Caenorhabditis elegans: one gene and its partners. The protein of the gene in region 2 interacts with the protein of the main gene of each other region in a biochemical or structural test. Each region holds a gene or a part of one and is shown on either strand. Other genes may lie near its edges. The genes, in order: kvs-1, mps-2 and mps-3.

Region 1 (6,136 bases), on a different chromosome or scaffold from region 2:
TAGTAAAAAGATTCAATTCATAGTCAACATCAGTGAGATTATTTTTCTCAAAAATTATTTCAAAACAACTGAATTTTATTGAAAATAAAATAATTAAAATTCAACACGGTTCCTTTTTTCCGTTCCAACCGTATTTTTTCAATTTTAATGATAAAATATATTGATCAGTGGGTCATTTTACGAGTGGATCAGTTTACAACATTTTACGTGTGGAGGCTGAAAAAACATTGAAAAAAAAAACGGAAGCGGAAATAAATCATGGGAGGTTAGCAACGTGTTGTGATTTAAAACATAGTTTTTTTTTTTGAAATTTAATTTTGAAAGCTGTTCAATTGAGGGGTTTCAAAAATTTCCAGGTACGTTTTTTTTCTATTAGTTATGCTCTGACTTTCAAGATATATAAGTTTTGATTTTTTCGCTACAAACTTCAAATGGTAAGCCTTTTCTTCAAACGTTTGTGTTCTTCTTGAATTTTCCCCCTTCAAAAAAAGTGCATCGGAATGGTGATGTAGTGGTGGATAGACAGAAAACTTAAAAATACAAAATAAATAAGGATGTGGTTAGGTAGTAGGTACTTGCTTTTTTCGAGAAAGCGCAAGAAATCAAAGGTGCGCGGCCACCAAAAAGGTGCACAAATTCTATTACACTTGGCGGGTGTTGGCGGTGCTGTCAAATCAAATACTTCTGATTTTCGAGTAAAAATAGAAATAGAAAAAGAAATCTAGCAATCGTAGAAACATGGCTGATGTTTTACTAGAAAAATTGAAATTTGAAGTCAAAGGATGCAACAAAAATGTGGACAGAAATGGAAGACGAAGAAAGCAATTCGGCAATACTGAAGAACCCTCAGAATCTCTGACACCATTTCGTTTATGGGAAAAATTGTGTGTTCCGAACATGAGGAAAAACACACAAAAACAAGAAAAAAGGAAGCGCTCACGGATTTATGAAAACATTTAAGAAACATTTTTTGAGCAATTGTCCTGTAAAAGTAATGCATATTTATGCAATAAACACTTGAATGACCTTTGATTTGTTAGAACGTTTAACTCGGATTTTCAGTGCACAAGAAAATTCTCAGTTAATTTATCTTGCTTCCCGCTTGGTGCTGTGATTTAGTTATTCTCATTTTTAGAGGTTACCTTACTATTATCAAATAAAACACAAATTCTCAAATTCTGTGTGTAAAAATTCTCGCAAAGACTTGAAAGCTGTAAAAAAGCTTATTCAGAATAAATTTCTTTCGCTTTTTCATTTCTGTCAAGAGGGTCATCGAACAAGGTTGATCGACAAAAGTAAATTAAAATTCGAATGATCATTGACACATGGTCAGGCTGACGTAGTCAAACTGTCAAGATTTGTGGCACATTCAAAAGTTAAGGATCTCTAAACTCAGATCAGCTATATTCGAAAATGAAATAGTGCGATAAAAAGTGATTTAACAGGCTATGCTTGACATATTTATCAAAACGTAAAAAAATTTTCCAATCTGCTCCAGATATAGACTCTTATATGGGCAACTAGAAAATTAAATTGAAAATCAAAAATGCGAGCAAAAGTTTTGATCAAACTACATTAAATTTTTTATGAAATATTTTGATCACGTTTTTGCACATTTTAACATAAAACTCACTTCTGGTCCACCAACATTATTGAAAAATAGTGATACTCTTCTGATAATATTCTTGAACATCATTCAAAAGAAGTGAGCAGCCTAACTCTGACGTAGGCCGAAACACCATGTCGTTGTTTCTTGCGAAGTATCAAAATATCATATTACCACGTGGAAACAACTATTATCGCAAAAAGTTGCCTAGAGATCAATCGACTAGTTTTTTAACTTTAGATGATGTGTTTAGTATGATGTTTCAATTTTTTAAAATACCAAGCCAAGCCAAGTATTATTAATAAACAATTCCAAAATTTTTTAAAACTTTTCCAAATTTCCTGTCAAAATTTTTACAATTAGCAAATTTTCAGAAAATGTGGCACCTTGAGAATTCTTATTCATTGTCGTAAGTTCTAACATCTACAATGTTCAAATATAGCCAATTAAAATGCATTAAAACTATAAAACATGCAAAAAAAATTTTTTTTTGGTCGACTTTGAAAATTATGATGGTTGAAAATTAGATTTTCACCATTTTTGCGTGTACATATATAACTTCAAAATTTTTTGAAAATGTTTACTACAGTTTTTGACAGTTTTAAAACATTTTCTCACTGCCGATACTCTTTTTATTCTGTTGAAATCTGGGAAAATTAATAAATAAAGTTGAAAATTACTTTTTCTCTCTGATTTACCCAAACAAATTTTTAAAAAACTACTGTCTTTGCTTCTTCCAAGAGTCTTTCCCAATGAACCAATTTTTTTCTCAACCATTTTTTTCGATTTCCACTCAAATTTTAATAAAAAATCCAATATTGATCCTCATTTCATTTGTTTTCTAAAAAAGAAAAGTGCAGCTAATTGACATATTCCAACTCTACAGGAAACCAATATGTGCATCCGAAAGTCGTTGGGGGAGACTTATACAAAAGACCAGAAAACCTTTAAATAAAAGCATTGCTCAAATTCCTTCCTCATTCCAAAAATAAATTTCATAGTTCTAAATTAAAAATTCGAAAACGATTTGGTTCGGATCTTCGACTTTTTGCAAGCTGAACAAAAAGATAAGAAAAAAGGAAATAGCTTTAGAGGCGAGAGGAACATGGACTAAAAAGTCTTGATCAGGAATTCATGGTGAACTCCTTTTCACATCACAGAATCTTCGTTTTTTTTTCGAATACCAAAGCTGGTTTTTTCCTTTTTTTTTCTTTTTTTTTTAACGATAGTTTTTCAAAAACCAAAAAACCATTTCACAGAGAAACACACAAAAAAAACGTACCGCAAGCTTTTACATCGCCTCATCATTTTCAGCGTCTTTAGTTATTTCAGAATGTGAGACAGATTCGGAAACGAAAGAAAAAGTGGCAGAGATCTAATTGATGAATTGAACCCCCATCTGCGGCTATGTTCTCTTTTTGTTCAACTTTTTCCTGTGTCCGACCGCAACCGGAGTAAGGGGTATGGTGAATGTGGATAAAACGATGAGAGAAGTAGAGGCTTCGTAGTTGAAATTTTTAAAGTTTGTGGTTGTGATAGTTTTTGTTGACAAGAATGAATTAGGTATGGTTCGTATCTTTAGTCTCTGATTTTAAGTTTTGTTTTTGGTAAATGCTCACAAAGCAAGTAATTGTGTAGATTGAAAGTGACGTAAAACCTGTAGGGAATGAGTTCGGAAGCTGGCTCATTAGTTGAGTAAAACGGAATAAATGTAGTTATATTCTCAGAAACTATAGTTTTAGTTTTGTGAATATAAGCTTCAGGAAAAATTAAGTTTTTTAACTGCTTCAGATTCAGAGAGTTTTGGTTATTATTATGAGATTTTAGAGACGTACATAGTAGGCTAATTTTTTCATTGGACTTTTTTTTAAATTAACCGTATTCAAACACTTTTAGGGACAGCGCTGGAAATAACTTAAGTAATCCACATTTTTGTAAATTTGGCAATTCACCCAAGCTCACAAAAATTTGAGTGAATTCTGAACATTATTCGACTGTTTAGTTGCAACTTTTGGTCATTTAGTTTTTAAGAATTTCCCATTCTAACATAGAAAAGGGTTAATGCCATAGTGCTTAAGATATCTTTAAAAGTGGCATAAAGTTTTCACTATTTTCAAATCGAAATAAAAATTCAAAAAATTTTTATTATGTTTTATTATGATATTTAGTAATTTAAGAACCACATGAAAAATTTGAGTCATTTCCCCTGTGGCCGTACTCTGCGTTCATTCTTTAGAACAATTTTGAAACATTGAAAAACTTGAAAAAAAAATTCTAAATTTCAGACCTGAGAAAATTTTTTATATCAATCAAACCAGTCAAAACGACATCAAATCTCCATTAAATAAACAAAAACAAAAACTCAACACTTACCCTTTATTTAAATCGAGATACATCAGCCTTTCCGTGCTCATGTTGCACAGATTCCACAAAAAGGTGAGACGACGAATGATCTGAAAAAAGGAAAACAAGATGTGAAAAACAAGAATTTTGATTGAGTTTGAAAAATTGATGATACTTGAACTTCAATCAACTCTTCCTGTTTTCCTGTAAAATCTTGAAAACGAACAAGCCACTTTTTCTAAAGAACAAGGCACTTGAAGAAGCGGTATGGAACAAATGTGGGAGGAGAACAAAAAATGTGGGCGGGGCTTAAAAGTCCAGCAGGCAAAACGAAAGTTTCAAAAATCTCAGAGGTCATCGCTTATTTTAGCTGTTTTCATTTCACTTTGGCGTCTTTCAACACTTGCGGAAACCTCAGAACGTGTGGGACTCATCACAATAAATTACTTTTTGAAGTCCGAAGATTGGAGGATAGACGATGAAATGAATCAAATTCTGCTGTAAGATATCGCAGATTTGATCGTAAAACCGTTGAACTTGGCTGTGTTCACCAGGCTCCCGTCATGTGGGAATTCCTGACAGCACTTTCGAATTGAATGAAATTTGAACACAAGAAAAAACATTTCCATCTGCAAACTTGGAATGAATTAAATGGAACAGCTGCTACCCGGGAAAAAAACTCCAAACTATCGTAACTAAAAATTATGTTTAGCAAAAAACTGCAGTGAACCAACTCATATGAACCAGTCAAAGTCATAAATATATCAAAAAGTTCCCAGAGCAAATGATTTTTGAAATAGAAAATTATGGCGGGAAGGGGGAGTTTTAATAGCATTTTTCAACACTTAAAAAATGAACAGTATAACAAAGAAATTATAATTTTTTTAATGTGGCTGTTGTTTTGGGAATATATTAAAAAAAGACGAAAACATTTCAAAATTTTTCGAGTGAATTCGAAATTAAATTAAAAATTAAAAAATTTAGTTTGAAAATGACTCAAAACATATGAACGGATATCCAAATTCCAGTGAAGGCCGTCATAGATAATCTTGCACAATTTTTCGAAATCGTTTCACAAATATAAACGTTCATCGTGTTATCAACAGATTAGCCGCTGAAAAGAAAAGCGGATGAGTGTCCGATTTCTGAGACCTCAGAAAAATTGCATACAGGAAAGTATCCAAGTATGCGGGCAGACATATGTTTTTTGAAAAAAATAGCTCAGTGGAAGAACTGGAAAAAACTGAATTGGCTGTCTAAGAAGTAAGTATTTTCAAAAATACATGTAACGACTTTTTCAACGTGGTTGTTGTGAATTATGCAGCATCAAGTTTGAATAGGTGCAGAAAACATTAACGAAGCAACGATAATAAAACATTAAGACTAGAAAAAACTAAAAATTCGGTTTTTGAAAACGGTAAATTTAATTTTACAGAAACGAAACACATCTTCATTAGAAACAAAATGGATCGGTGGTAAACACACATCAAATTAATTTTTTATGTTTCATTTTATTTTCACTATTAGTATTGAAACACATTCTCGATTCTTCTTTTTTGAGCAGTTTGTTTCACATTTTAGGTAGTTTTTTTGATTTCATATTCAATATTTTATACCTATTTTGTGAAATAACGTATAAATATTGGACAGTTCTCAGAGAAGGGGTTGGACAACTTATCACATTTACTTATACTAATTTCAAAAAAGTTAAATTCAGAAGAGAAGAAACATCAAAGATAAATTCAGAAGAGAAGAAACGAAAAAAACCTAGTTGAAGAAAATACATGAAGTTTCCGATTGTGTTACTTTTTTCTGTTAAGAAAACAGGTTTTTCATGGTTATTAGAAAACTTACATTTCGTTAAAGTTCAGTTTCTAAACAGTTCTCTAAAGTTCTGGAATTTTCTACAGTTCGTAGATTATATGTTAAGGTAGCTTATTATTATTCCTTTATTTCAATTGCTTTGATCAAAAGGAAAGATAGTCAGAAGGGTGGTTCTTACAACAAAAAACAATTAAAACCGTTCATATGCGTTCTAATATGTCAAAAGTACAATGTTTTGATATTTCGGTACTTGTGTAGATTTTTACAATATTCACAAGTTTTGAGCTACGCGGAAGTTCAGGAAGATATACCTTTTTTCTTTATTGCACCTTGACTGAAAACGGAAATTATTATTTTCTAACG
Region 2 (6,507 bases):
GGTGTCTGTTTTGGGTCGGTTGCACTGAAAATAGTTACATTAATTATTCGATTTGTTCAACTTTTCGAATTTTCGAATAAACCGTCAAATATGATTTTTAAAAAAGAACTCACTATCAGCATTATTTTGTACTTCATGAGTAGTATGTATTTGTCCGCTCCGGTGCAGCTTTCAACCCACTTTTTGGGTCTCATGTGTCGGAGTACAGCTGATTCCTTCACATTATCTTCACATTTTTCTGACATGGACAATATTTTCATCCAGTTAGATAACATTTTCCAGGCAAGAACATTTCCATATTTCTTGAAAATAATCAGTATTGTTCCAATTCGACTCCGAAAATGATTCAGAATTTCATCGTTGGAACATATTTGGTGACTTTTGTTTAGAATGTTCTCAATATTCTTGATTGTTTTCGAGATTATTTGATAATCCGGAAAACTCGTTTGATCGGTTCGAATGTCCAAGTCGAAGACTTCGAACTCGTATTTTTCAATTTTTTCAGTGCAATTCTGACTTCTTTGTGCAAGTTGATCTACTATCGTGTTTTCCATCTTGACTTTTGAAAAAAAAAATTAAATTGACAAGCTGCAGACTTTTCAATTAATGACAGAAGATGTGTTTTGCAAAGGTGTTTGAAGAAATTTGCTGAATTGTCCGATTTGATGCTGATGAGAATCAGACTTTTTGACGTAGCTCTCTCTTTTCTGATGGTTTGAAAAAAAAACTAACGAAACAAAGATTCCAATTGGTTGTTGGTGTTGTAGCGGTAGATGTAGTGGAATGATGATAAAATTAGCTCTTTGATTCAGTACTTGTTGAGGTTAGAATAGGGTGAGTTCCCATGTCCCTTTCTTTTTCCCTCGGTTAGTTGTCTTCGTTGTCTCTTTTTCCGTCTTGTCCTCGGGGTCATTATTCATTTTGCCAATGGAGGTATCTCTTTTTTTCGTGCACTCTCTCATTGAGAGTAGTACTCCACAATAAACAATCGGAGCGAAAGTGTAGATAACAGCAACGTCTCGGACCAATTGTGTAAACCAGATTGGTTTTTGCAATTTTGCAACTCGATTGTATAAACGTGACGGAACAACTTTTCTTTCATCGATGAGTTTAATCATCTTTACACTGATGAAGACCTTGCGAGATAAGAATAAATTTTTGTGGAGTATCAACTCTCGTTTTTTCCTTATCTCATTTCTTCGGGAATTCCAGAAACAAATCATTTTGTTGTTCCTTTTCGCTGTCTCTGCTATTAAGAAACTGACTATGTCTCAAATAGGGGAAACTTCGAAGCAGCTTTTCCATTTGGCGTTTCAAAAAAAATTTGTGGAATCTTTTCTGAATGGGAAAACACGGAAATAATTCAATGCGCGGCTTACATACTTGACGACTTAAAAAAAAACCTGGAGACAAATGTGTTGTGTCAAGTCTTGCCATTCGTCGGACTAAGATGCAGTGAATCTTTTGAGTCTACGACGGGAATTTTACTGATCAAACTGGAATCAATGAAGATGAATTGTGGAGGTAGAAGAGTGAATTGTATTCCCACTGTTAATTAGAGCATTTTTTCCAATTACTCCCTATATTAATTAACGGGTAAACAAGGAACGAATGTGATGCATATTATCACGTCTGACAATAAGCATGCTATTTGAGATTCACTGGACTAGAAACTCAAAAGTTGTTGTGAGGTTTGAATCAACAATTCTCAAAAAGAGTCTACTCTGACTAGCTCTTTTCTTGAAATGGACCAAATTCAAACTCTCGTTCCATAGTTTTGAAAACAATACACAACTGAATCAGCTTTTGTTTTTTTCTGGAGAGCGTAGATTTTTCATGGGCTTTTGAAAAAAAAAATTATTTTATCGTCCTTTGGATGAGTTTCTTTGAAGAGAGAGAGTGTGTGTGTTTTTTTTGTATTTTTTCTTGGGTTTTTAGAGATTAAAGGAAATAGAGAGAAATTAATTTTACTTGATTTTTAGAAAAATTTAGTGAAATTGAAAAGAAAAAAATGGTAAGACTCAAAAGACTAGAACATCGAACCAAACTCTGTCTGCCTTGATGGAATAGAGCACAGACACCACTAAACTAGTTTAGAATGGAAGGATCTCACCGAAAACTTTTCAGATGAAATAAAAGTTTTTAGGTGGAATTTTTTTCTTTTGACTTTGAAGAGAGAAAATCATATGAAGATGAAATCTCAGTCAAAAGCTCGGTGGTACCTACATGTTACCGTACGCGATCGTGCCAGATCTCGTAGATAAAATAATAGAAAACATATGAATATATCGATATGTTTATTGAGATGAGGGGGAGAAGGACGGGTGTCCGTCTCCCAGCCTCCCGATAGAATGATGTTAATTCTCATGGAATAGAATGTCTCTATTCTCTCGTGCTCTCTCACCCCACCAACTGTCGTTGACAGATGGCAATGATCAAGGGCACTCGATAAATAGAAACCGAGAAGCAGTATAGAACTGACCTCTCACACTACTATGCGGCTGCCCCGCTCCCGACCTTTATGATAACCCCACTTCCTATATTATTCTTTTTATGTATTGCATATATTCTATTATATATATATAAACATCCTATAACCCCAAGGAATTCCAGGTCGGTATATTTAACCTCAACGAGGTACTTTAGGCTAGGAATAAGAACCACTCTCAACCCTAGCGAGAGTTAGATAAAGGTTGATTATAATATTAGGTGCCGAGAGCACGCCTATAACATGAAGGTACCACCGAGCCAGGAAATAATTTTTTGGGGTGCCCCTGTATGTAAGATCGCAGGTTCCAAAATTGTTTCTGCGAACTCAGAGGAGTCAGGAGTTCACCTAACTATTCCCTAGTAAGTGTGCCATAACCGCTACACCAAGGCCACACCAATATCTATTTGGATTCCCCCATTCCTATCACCATCAAACCCCTTCCCATCTATTATTCTATTCTCGTCTGGTTGGAAGAGCATGGAGACAGTTTCCAGTACACATCACGCCTCTGCAAAACGGACAAAGCAGATTCTCTTCAAACGGTCAAGGAATTCCCGACGTTGGACCAACTCCCCCTGATGCGGCTTGAGTTTTTTTTCTTTTGATTATTAGTTGTTCTTTATTGATTCAATCTCTATTCTAGCCTGAGGGCATCATGAGCCAAGTTTGAGCCATTTTATTGTGTTGAGTAAGCAAAGTTCCCCGCACATTTTTTTTTGAGTATTGAGAATACACTAGTTTGAAGAGTTCCCCATTTTCTTTGTATTGTATGTAGATAAGTTACTGTTGAGTAAAATGACCTCTAATTATATTGTTAAGTCCGTTTTCTTAGAATTTCACATTTTGAAATAAGTATTTGTGTCTGCCTGAGGCAATAGAAATTAAAGAGACTCTGTTGTATTGCATTTTAATGAGATGAGAGTAGGATTTTATTTGGTATAGTTTTTTCATATGTTGTTTATCCTTCTTGAAAGGGCTTTAAACTCTTGCACTAAAACACTAGCGCTTTGAGGACAAAGCACTTTTGAGAGGGTAGGATGGCGTGCCGTTACCGTCATCTGTTATTTTTCTTTTTGGGAATCTGAGTTCTGTAAGCCTAACATCAAAAGCTTCGGGACGAAGCTGCTCAAAAAGGGCGGCATGTGAGAGGTCAGTTCTATACTGCTTCTCGGTTTCTATTTATCGAGTGCCCTTGATCATTGCCATCTGTCAACGACAGTTGGTGGGGTGAGAGAGCACGAGAGAATAGAGACATTCTATTCCATGAGAATTAACATCATTCTATCGGGAGGCTGGGAGACGGACACCCGTCCTTCTCCCCCTCATCTCAATAAACATATCGATATATTCATATGTTTTCTATTATTTTATCTACGAGATCTGGCACGATCGCGTACGGTAACAGTAGGGCGACTCCCACCAGACTAACTTGTGTGCGCCTGCACTTAGGGGCGGGCCGCCATGGAAGTAAATGAAGAAGGAAGATAGGCATGCCTGATAGGAGGCTTGCCATCGTATCCTTCCACAGTTTATTTATTTACTCTTCCTTTGATAAAATGTCTGAAACGTAAGTTGAACTCATTGTTTTCCCAAAAAATTCGAAATTTGAGAAAAAAATGCTTGAAAATCCAGATTCTGTGGAAAAATTTCCAGTATTGGATCCTCTGTAAGTGATTTTGTAATTTCAGAAAAAAAAATTTATTAAACATTTTTTGAGAAAACGTTTTTCAGAAGTTTTTTTCAGAAAAAAGAATGTACTCCTGTCCCTGCACTCTCTTTCATCTTTAATCCACGTGGCAATGTTCTATTTCCTATTGGTCCAATGGAGTAAAGCCGATAATCCAGTTCTCACACATTTTCAGAGTAGGAATCCAAAAATTGAAGTTGTTAAGGTTTTTGAAAATTAATTTTCAGTTTTCTGCCTGGTGATTATTGGAATCGGATTTTTGATTATCTTGATCTTAATATTCAGTATTTTTAAATCCGAAATGAAAAGTGACTCACATGCAAGACGATTCTTTCATATGTAAGTTTATGTCTTAAAAATTGAGATTTTAAATTTAATGCTGCTCAAACCAGCTCAAATTCTAATTTTTCCAAAACATTCTTGCGGGGGTACGAAATTTTAATACCAATTTTGATATTGTCGGTACAGACTTTTTAAAATTAAGACAATTGTTTTGGCTGAAATTTTGGTTTTTAAATTTTAAAAGTGGAGTAACGCCGGGGGGGCAGTGTTAAAACTACTTCAATGGTGCCAAAATGACCGAATTTCAAAAAAAAACCTTTCCAAAAAAACGTTTTGAAAATTTTTGAAGTGTTTTATTATGATATTCGGTTATTTTGGCTCATCATAAGTGTATTTAGACAAAATCCTCACTGGTGCTACCCCAAATAAAACTTTTCACCATTTTCCAGTTGGCCACTGGTACATATCGCCTTATCCACCGCCTATCAGCTCTTCACGCAAATTGTGATATCTCATTGGAAAACTTACCAGGTTTGTCAACCTATATAATTAAATTCGTCAGAAAATTTTTCAGATCCCAATCCTCTACTCATCCTATGCAACTACCGTCTCTGTTTGCATTCATTTAGTTCTGCACTCCATGGCGGTTTTTTGGAAAGTATAATTTTTCATAAAATTTATTCAAATGTTATGTTGTTATGCCATTGGCAATATTCGACTTCAATACTAAAAAATCTTTGAAAATTATTATTTTTCTCATCAGTTGAAATTATTTTTTCAATGGTGACTTCCAAAAAAGCGCAAAAGTATGAAGAATCATATGAGTTGCAACTGATATAGAGGCCGCAATTGAGGACGCCAGATTTGGTACCTGAAACGTAGAATTGAAATTGGGAATTGAGTATTGAATCTGCTAAATTCTGAGAAAGAACTTTCATACTTTTATTGACAATTGAGATGCCAAAAGTTGAACAACAAATTGATAGATTGTTGCACACGCGATGTTGAACAGGGGGAGTCTGAAAATACCTTTAAAGCTTGATTGAGATTGATTTTAGCCGTAAGCTTTTTCTCTGGTTTAGGTTCAGGCCTAGGCTTACGCTTTGGCTTAGGCTTAGGCTTATGCCTAGGGGTACATTCTAGCTTGGCCTTTTTTCACTTACGAAATGAAAAACTCCGTCTCTGCCTTTTCGTTTTTATATTTTCCGTGCAACATCCAGACGAAGCCGCCGAACGCGAGAAGTAATAAACACAAGACGAAAACCATCAGAATAATCGCTGAAATTAGGTTTGATTTTCTAAATTTCGAGTCAAAATGTTCTGAAACTCACCTCCAACTACAGTAATTTTTGGATCGATTGCATTGTACCATTCAAGAAACAAGGTATAGGTCATAATGACATGAATTAAAAACGAGATACCGTGTCCAATGAGGAGTTTCTTTTTTTTGCTGCAATATTTTTCAAAATCCAATAAAAATTATAACTTTGACCCACTCTTTCACATCGGGAGGAAGGTTATACTGCATTTTTGCGTGCTCTTTTTCCCCGTTCGAGGCCTGAACTGTCTCTGAGGCAGAATGGCCGTTCGACGTATGACGTCCGAGTGAGAAACTTTGCAAGGCTGCGCTAAAGTCCTTGATTAACTTTGGGTCCCGAATGTGTTGCAAAACAGAGGCAATGTTCTGCGGGATATGTTCACTGAAAATAACTTTTTTTTTTTAAATCATCTTAAACGTCTTTTTGTGTTTTTTTTTCAAACACGTATGGATTTCTTTGACTTTTTTGGTATGAAAATTGTTGTTTTGTGGACAGAGCGTCGGCGTGAGTCTCGCACTTAAAATCTTTTTTTTACTTGACTCACTCTTTGTGATCTGTTGGTGTCTGTTTTGGGTCGGTTGCACTGAAAATAATTACATTAATTATTCGATTTGTTCAACTTTTCGAATTTTCGAATAAACCGTCAAATATGATTTTTAAAAAAAAACTCACTATCAGCATTTAATTTGTACTTCATGCTTGAATATTTTATAAGATAACTATTATTT
Region 3 (4,926 bases), on a different chromosome or scaffold from region 2:
GTTTAAGTGCAAACATAAATTCCTGAGATCCCATGTTGTAGTTTATGAAGACGATGAGGTGTTGTGAGTAGAAATGAAAAATGAGAAATGTTGTATTTAATATTATAAATTGTTTCAGCGACAACGTTATCAGTAAACACCATTACGTGTTCCATACAAATGCACCACATATGTATCTCGTTGAGGCTGAAGATACCAATGACGGATTGCCAAAGTTTTTGGATGTATTACTTTTTAATTTCCCGCTTTTTCTCTAGTATTTCTCAGAAAATTTGAATTTCCCGCCAAAATTTTTTATCAGAAAATTTGAATTTCCCACCAAAATTTTTTATCAGAAGATTTGAATTTCCCACCAAAATTTTTTCTCAGAAAATTTGAATTTCCCACCAAAATTTTTTCTCAGAAAACTTGAAATTCCCGCCAAAAACTTTTTCTCAGAATTTTGAAATTCCCGCTAAAAAATGTTTCTCAGAAAATTTGAAATTCCCGCTAAAAAATTTTTCTCAGAAAATTAAAAATCCCCGCCAAAACTTTTTCTCAGAGAATTTGAATTTGCCGCCAAAAAATTGTTTTCTCATAAAATCTGAATTTCCCACCAAAATTTTTTCTCAGAAAATTTGAAATTCCCGCTAAAAAATTTTTCTCAGAAAATTTGAATTTCCCGCCAAAAAATTGTTTTCTCATAAAATCTGAATTTCCCACCAAAATTTTTTCTCAGAAAATTTGAAATTCCCGCCAAAAAGTGAACATTCTAGGAGTTTGGCAGTTTACCAAAACCTTGACTGACCATTTTGGAAAATCGAATAACCTCTTAAATAAAAACTCTAACTTGTAAAAATTTAAAAATTTAAATATATAGCTTTGCAGTCCTATTTCGAGTTATACATGATCATCGTCCACGATTGCACGGATAATGGGAAATACAAGTTGTTGACAGTTGACTTGGGATCTTATTATATCAAGGATGGGTAGGTACTTTCTACAGGGCAGGCTAGGGCTTCCATGGGAAGCAGGAGCGGTTTGCCGGCTTCTCGCCTGATTCCTGCACTTTGGCAAAAAGTCAAAGCCTCGATGCTCACACATAGGGCTGGCATATTGGACGTCCGGTTTTTTGAAATTTTAAATTTTTCCGAGAGGTAGTTTTTTTTGTACGGCGGCCGACAATTTCCGAGTTTGGCCACTCATGATAAAATTATATGATTAAGTATAGTGAGTGGCCAAACTCGGAAGTTGTCGGCCGCCGTAAAAAAAACTACCTCTCGGAAAATTTTAACATTTCAAAAAACCGGACGACCGGACGCCCAATATGTCAGCCCTACTCACACCAAATAGTACTATAAGCGGTTTTTTTTGCCGCAGCCGACACTTTACGGTTTCCACGCCGCACTGTACAGAAGGCGCGGCCCGAGGCAGTTGTCAGGCGTTTTGGCGCCTATATGCAAGCTCTAGGGCAGGCATTTCTGTTTTCAAAAAAATGAATATTTTCAGGCAGTACGATGAAACACGCAACATTGATCTGAACAATGCCGGTGAATGGACAAACGAAGTAATCGGAACAAAGGCGATGGTGATGTCCAAGATATTTATTTTCAATGTTTGATAAAATTGTTCATCAATATTCGAGCCTACCTGCCTACCTGCCTACAAGGTAGCCTACATATATTATTTTTCCTAATTAACAAAAATATAATTAAAACATGATTAAGATTTTCTGAAAATGAGCAAAAAGTGTTTTTAACTTCCACTTTTTGCCCAACAGGTTTAAGATAGGCATGTGACAAAGCCTACATTCAAGGCAACCTACGCCTGCCTCGGTACATGGTGCATCGACCAATATTTACCTCTTAGCTTCGAGAGCTTATATCTCGGTTACATTTTGCTCTATCAAAAAATGGCCAACTGAAAAACTGTTCTCCAATGCTTTTTCTACAATTTTGTGGTTAAAATTTTTTTAATATCTTGAAAACTAGCGAAAATATAAGCCACCAAGTCGCGCGCCGCCCCCCGAGAAAGCAATTCCAACCCAAGTTTATTGCAATAAAAACCAGTAGAAACGAAAGAAATGAGGTTGATTTTGGAGACTTTTCAGGTGACACGGGGAGCTTTTACATTGTTGGCATTATTCAGATTCGATTGAGAAGGAGAAGTCGTGGGGAGGCTGAAAAATGTTCTAAAGTTGTTGAAAAAAAAAACAAATCTGCATTTTTTAAAAACCTGATTCTTAGACTTCCATCCATTGCCATAAGTGCACAGAACAGTCTGTTGCTCTTGCTCTTTGTGCTCCGTGTCCTCGGAGCCATCATCAACCTTGTCTGGAACTGTCGGTGTTGGCTCAGTTGACGGAGCAAATGAGGAGGATGGTGTCGCAGATTCTTCAGTTGGTTTGGGAGATGATGGCGGAGCTGGCTGAGGTGGAATTGGAGATGCTCTTTTTTTTGGGGTTACTGCAGACTGTTTGCTCTTCAAACTCTTGCTCCGCGATTTTGTGCTCTTTTTTGTTTTCTTCTTTGGCTGCTTTTGTTGCTTCTTGCTTTTTATCTGAAAATTAGAGTTTCTAGGCAATCAAGCGATTTTCTAGGCCACCAGACATATATTTAGCCATGTCGGAATTTTCTAGGCCATCACAGACAGTTCTAGGCCATATAGAAATTTTCCTAGGCCACCTAAAACTTTTCTAGGCCACCAACAGTTTTCTATGACCGCGATTTTTGCTAGGCCACCAACAAAAGCAAATAACACATTTTCTAGGCCACCAACAGAATTTCAAATTTTTCTAGGCCTTTAACTCACATATTTCACAATGGAAGCGGCGGCGAACACGATGAAGGCTACAATGAGAATGCCAATAATTATGAATATCACTACTTTGGTCCATGGCGTCGATGATGCTGCAAAAATGGAGGTACAAATATGCAAACGCGCTCTACCGCACTACCAGTGCGGTAGAGCGCGTTTCAAACTAACAGCCAGAAGTTGGCGCCGGTGGTCGCTGAGTGGAGGTGGACATTATCAGGAAATGAATGAGAAAATGGAGAAATTTGGGAAAATTGATTAGAGACGTGGGATTTTTTTTTAATTTTTATAATATTTTTGAGTAGGGGGAAGGGGTGAGGGTCACGGAAAATACCAAAAATTTGTGATTTTTCCATTAAATTGGAGCAAAATTGACACCATACCTCGTGGCCTAGAAAACTGCAGAATTTCTAGGCCACACACGTTACGTCATAATTTACCTGTTAAACCAGGTAACCAACAATCAAATCAAGAGTAATTAATCATCTCCTATCTTCTTTTATTTCTCCGTTCCTACTCCCAATGTTTTTTTTTTGTAATTTGTGATCACAAATTGTTGCATTTTGTAGTACGCCATGTACGTCTGTGTACTACTTTTTTCTGAAAAGAATACAAAAATGTTCGCTTTCAGGAAAAAATAGTGAGAGGTAGAAGAAAATTACGGGGACTAGAAATATGTAAAAGTTCGACAACGTAGGCAGGTAGGCAGGTAGGCAAGTAGGCAGTTAGGCAGGTAGGCAGGTAGGTAGGCAGGATAGTAGGCTGCCAGGCATAATAAAGATGCAGGCACGTAGGCGGATGTTGCAGGCATGAGAAGTCACGGGGGTAGGCAGGCATGTGGGTATGTAAGCAGATGTAGGTATGTTGCAGTCATGATGAAGGCACGTGGGTAGGTAGGTAACTAGTTAGGCTGGTAGGGAGGTAGACAGGTAGGCAGGCAGGCAGACGCGTAGGAAGAGTTAGCCAGGATGCAGGCACGTAGGCAGATGTAGGTATGTTGCAGGCATGCTGAAGTCACGTGGGTAGGCAGATTGGTAGATGTGTACGCAGAGTAGGTATGTTGCGGGTATTATGAAGGCACGTGAGTAGGTAAGCAGGCAGGTAGGTAGGCAGGCAGGTAGGTAGACATGTAAATATGCAGGCATATACGTAGGGAGAACAAGCCATAATTCAGGCACGTAGGCAGATTTAGGTATGTTGTAGGCATGATGACGTAACGTGGGTAGGCAGATAGGCAGGTAGGCAGGCTCGTAAGCTGGCAGGCATAATAAAGACACATAAGCAGGCATGTAAATCTGCAGGCAGATACGTAGGAAGAGCAAGCCAGGATGCAGGCACGTAGGCAGATGTAGGTATGTTACAGGCATGATGAAGGCACGTGGGTAGGCAGGTAGGTAGGCAGCCAGGCAGGATCGGAGGTTGGTAAGCATAAAAAAGACAGGTAGGCGGGTAGGCAAGCATGTAAATGTGCAGGCAGATACGTAGAAAGAGCAAGCCAGGATGCAGGCACGTAGGCAGATGTAGGCATGTTGCAGGCATGATGAAGGCACGTGAGTAGGTATGCAGGGAGGTAGGTAGGCAGGCATGCAGGCACATAGGCAGATGTAGGTATGATTCAGGTAGGCAGGCAGGTAGGAAGACTGAATGCAGGCGTGTTGCTAGGCAATAGCGCCCTTTCCTTGTTATGACAATCTCGATAATCTAATAATAAGCTATTCAATCATATCACTGCGCCGATACACAAACTACCTGTTTTTTTGAGTATGCGTCTCGTCCCGTCTGCCCAAAAGCTTCTACAGAGTGATTAGACGGTATAAGGGGGAGAGATAGGATAGATTTCAATCATTCTCACTTTTTTCGTCCCTTTCTCTGTCTTCCTTCTCCCTTTTTTTACAGGGCGCTTTTCCCTTTTTCGTGTGTGTGAAGAGAGAGAGTGCATACAGGTGTAGAGGACGCCCAGACATCGAGACGGAACAGGATTCTTCATCGTCTTCAGCTATTTGGAAGAAGGAGTAGAAGGTGACGGTGTGTGTTTGGAGACGTGTAATCATCATGTCTTATAACACTTCCTTGCTCATTTTTCTCTGCTTCTCTGCCGTCTCTCTATCCACACAGTCTTTCGCCGTTTATCGA

What was found.
Region 1: of the proteins of mps-2 (region 2) and kvs-1, one has a biochemical effect on the other in vitro, tested with the Caenorhabditis elegans proteins (one study listed by BioGRID).
Region 3: of the proteins of mps-2 (region 2) and mps-3, one has a biochemical effect on the other in vitro, tested with the Caenorhabditis elegans proteins (one study listed by BioGRID).

What each region holds. Positions count from the first base shown.
Region 1 is NC_003284.9:7,703,067-7,709,202, forward strand, and holds the start of kvs-1 (BTB domain-containing protein), read right to left. Parts: upstream 4,066-6,136; 5' UTR 4,021-4,065; coding exon 3,980-4,020; intron 3,034-3,979; exon of another isoform or gene 2,893-3,033; intron 1-2,892.
Region 2 is NC_003280.10:308,172-314,678, reverse strand, and holds mps-2 (MiRP K channel accessory Subunit), read left to right. Parts: upstream 1-2,521; coding exon 2,522-2,613; intron 2,614-3,780; exon of another isoform or gene 3,781-3,981; coding exon of another isoform or gene 3,982-4,058; exon of another isoform or gene 4,059-4,235; coding exon 4,236-4,354; intron 4,355-4,405; coding exon 4,406-4,517; intron 4,518-4,909; coding exon 4,910-4,991; intron 4,992-5,034; coding exon 5,035-5,124; downstream 5,125-6,507. Other genes in the region: K01A2.4 (uncharacterized protein), read right to left, coding at 5,230-5,331, 5,401-5,479, 5,624-5,738, 5,792-5,910, 5,957-6,160, 6,324-6,362.
Region 3 is NC_003279.8:758,830-763,755, forward strand, and holds mps-3 (MiRP K channel accessory Subunit), read right to left. Parts: upstream 3,021-4,926; 5' UTR 3,008-3,020; coding exon 2,965-3,007; intron 2,889-2,964; coding exon 2,791-2,888; intron 2,539-2,790; coding exon 2,215-2,538; intron 2,159-2,214; coding exon 2,120-2,158; 3' UTR 2,019-2,119; downstream 1-2,018. Other genes in the region: Y18H1A.8 (TransThyretin-Related family domain), read left to right, coding at 1-63, 119-224, 868-968, 1,489-1,600; T06A4.3 (ShKT domain-containing protein), read left to right, coding at 4,846-4,926.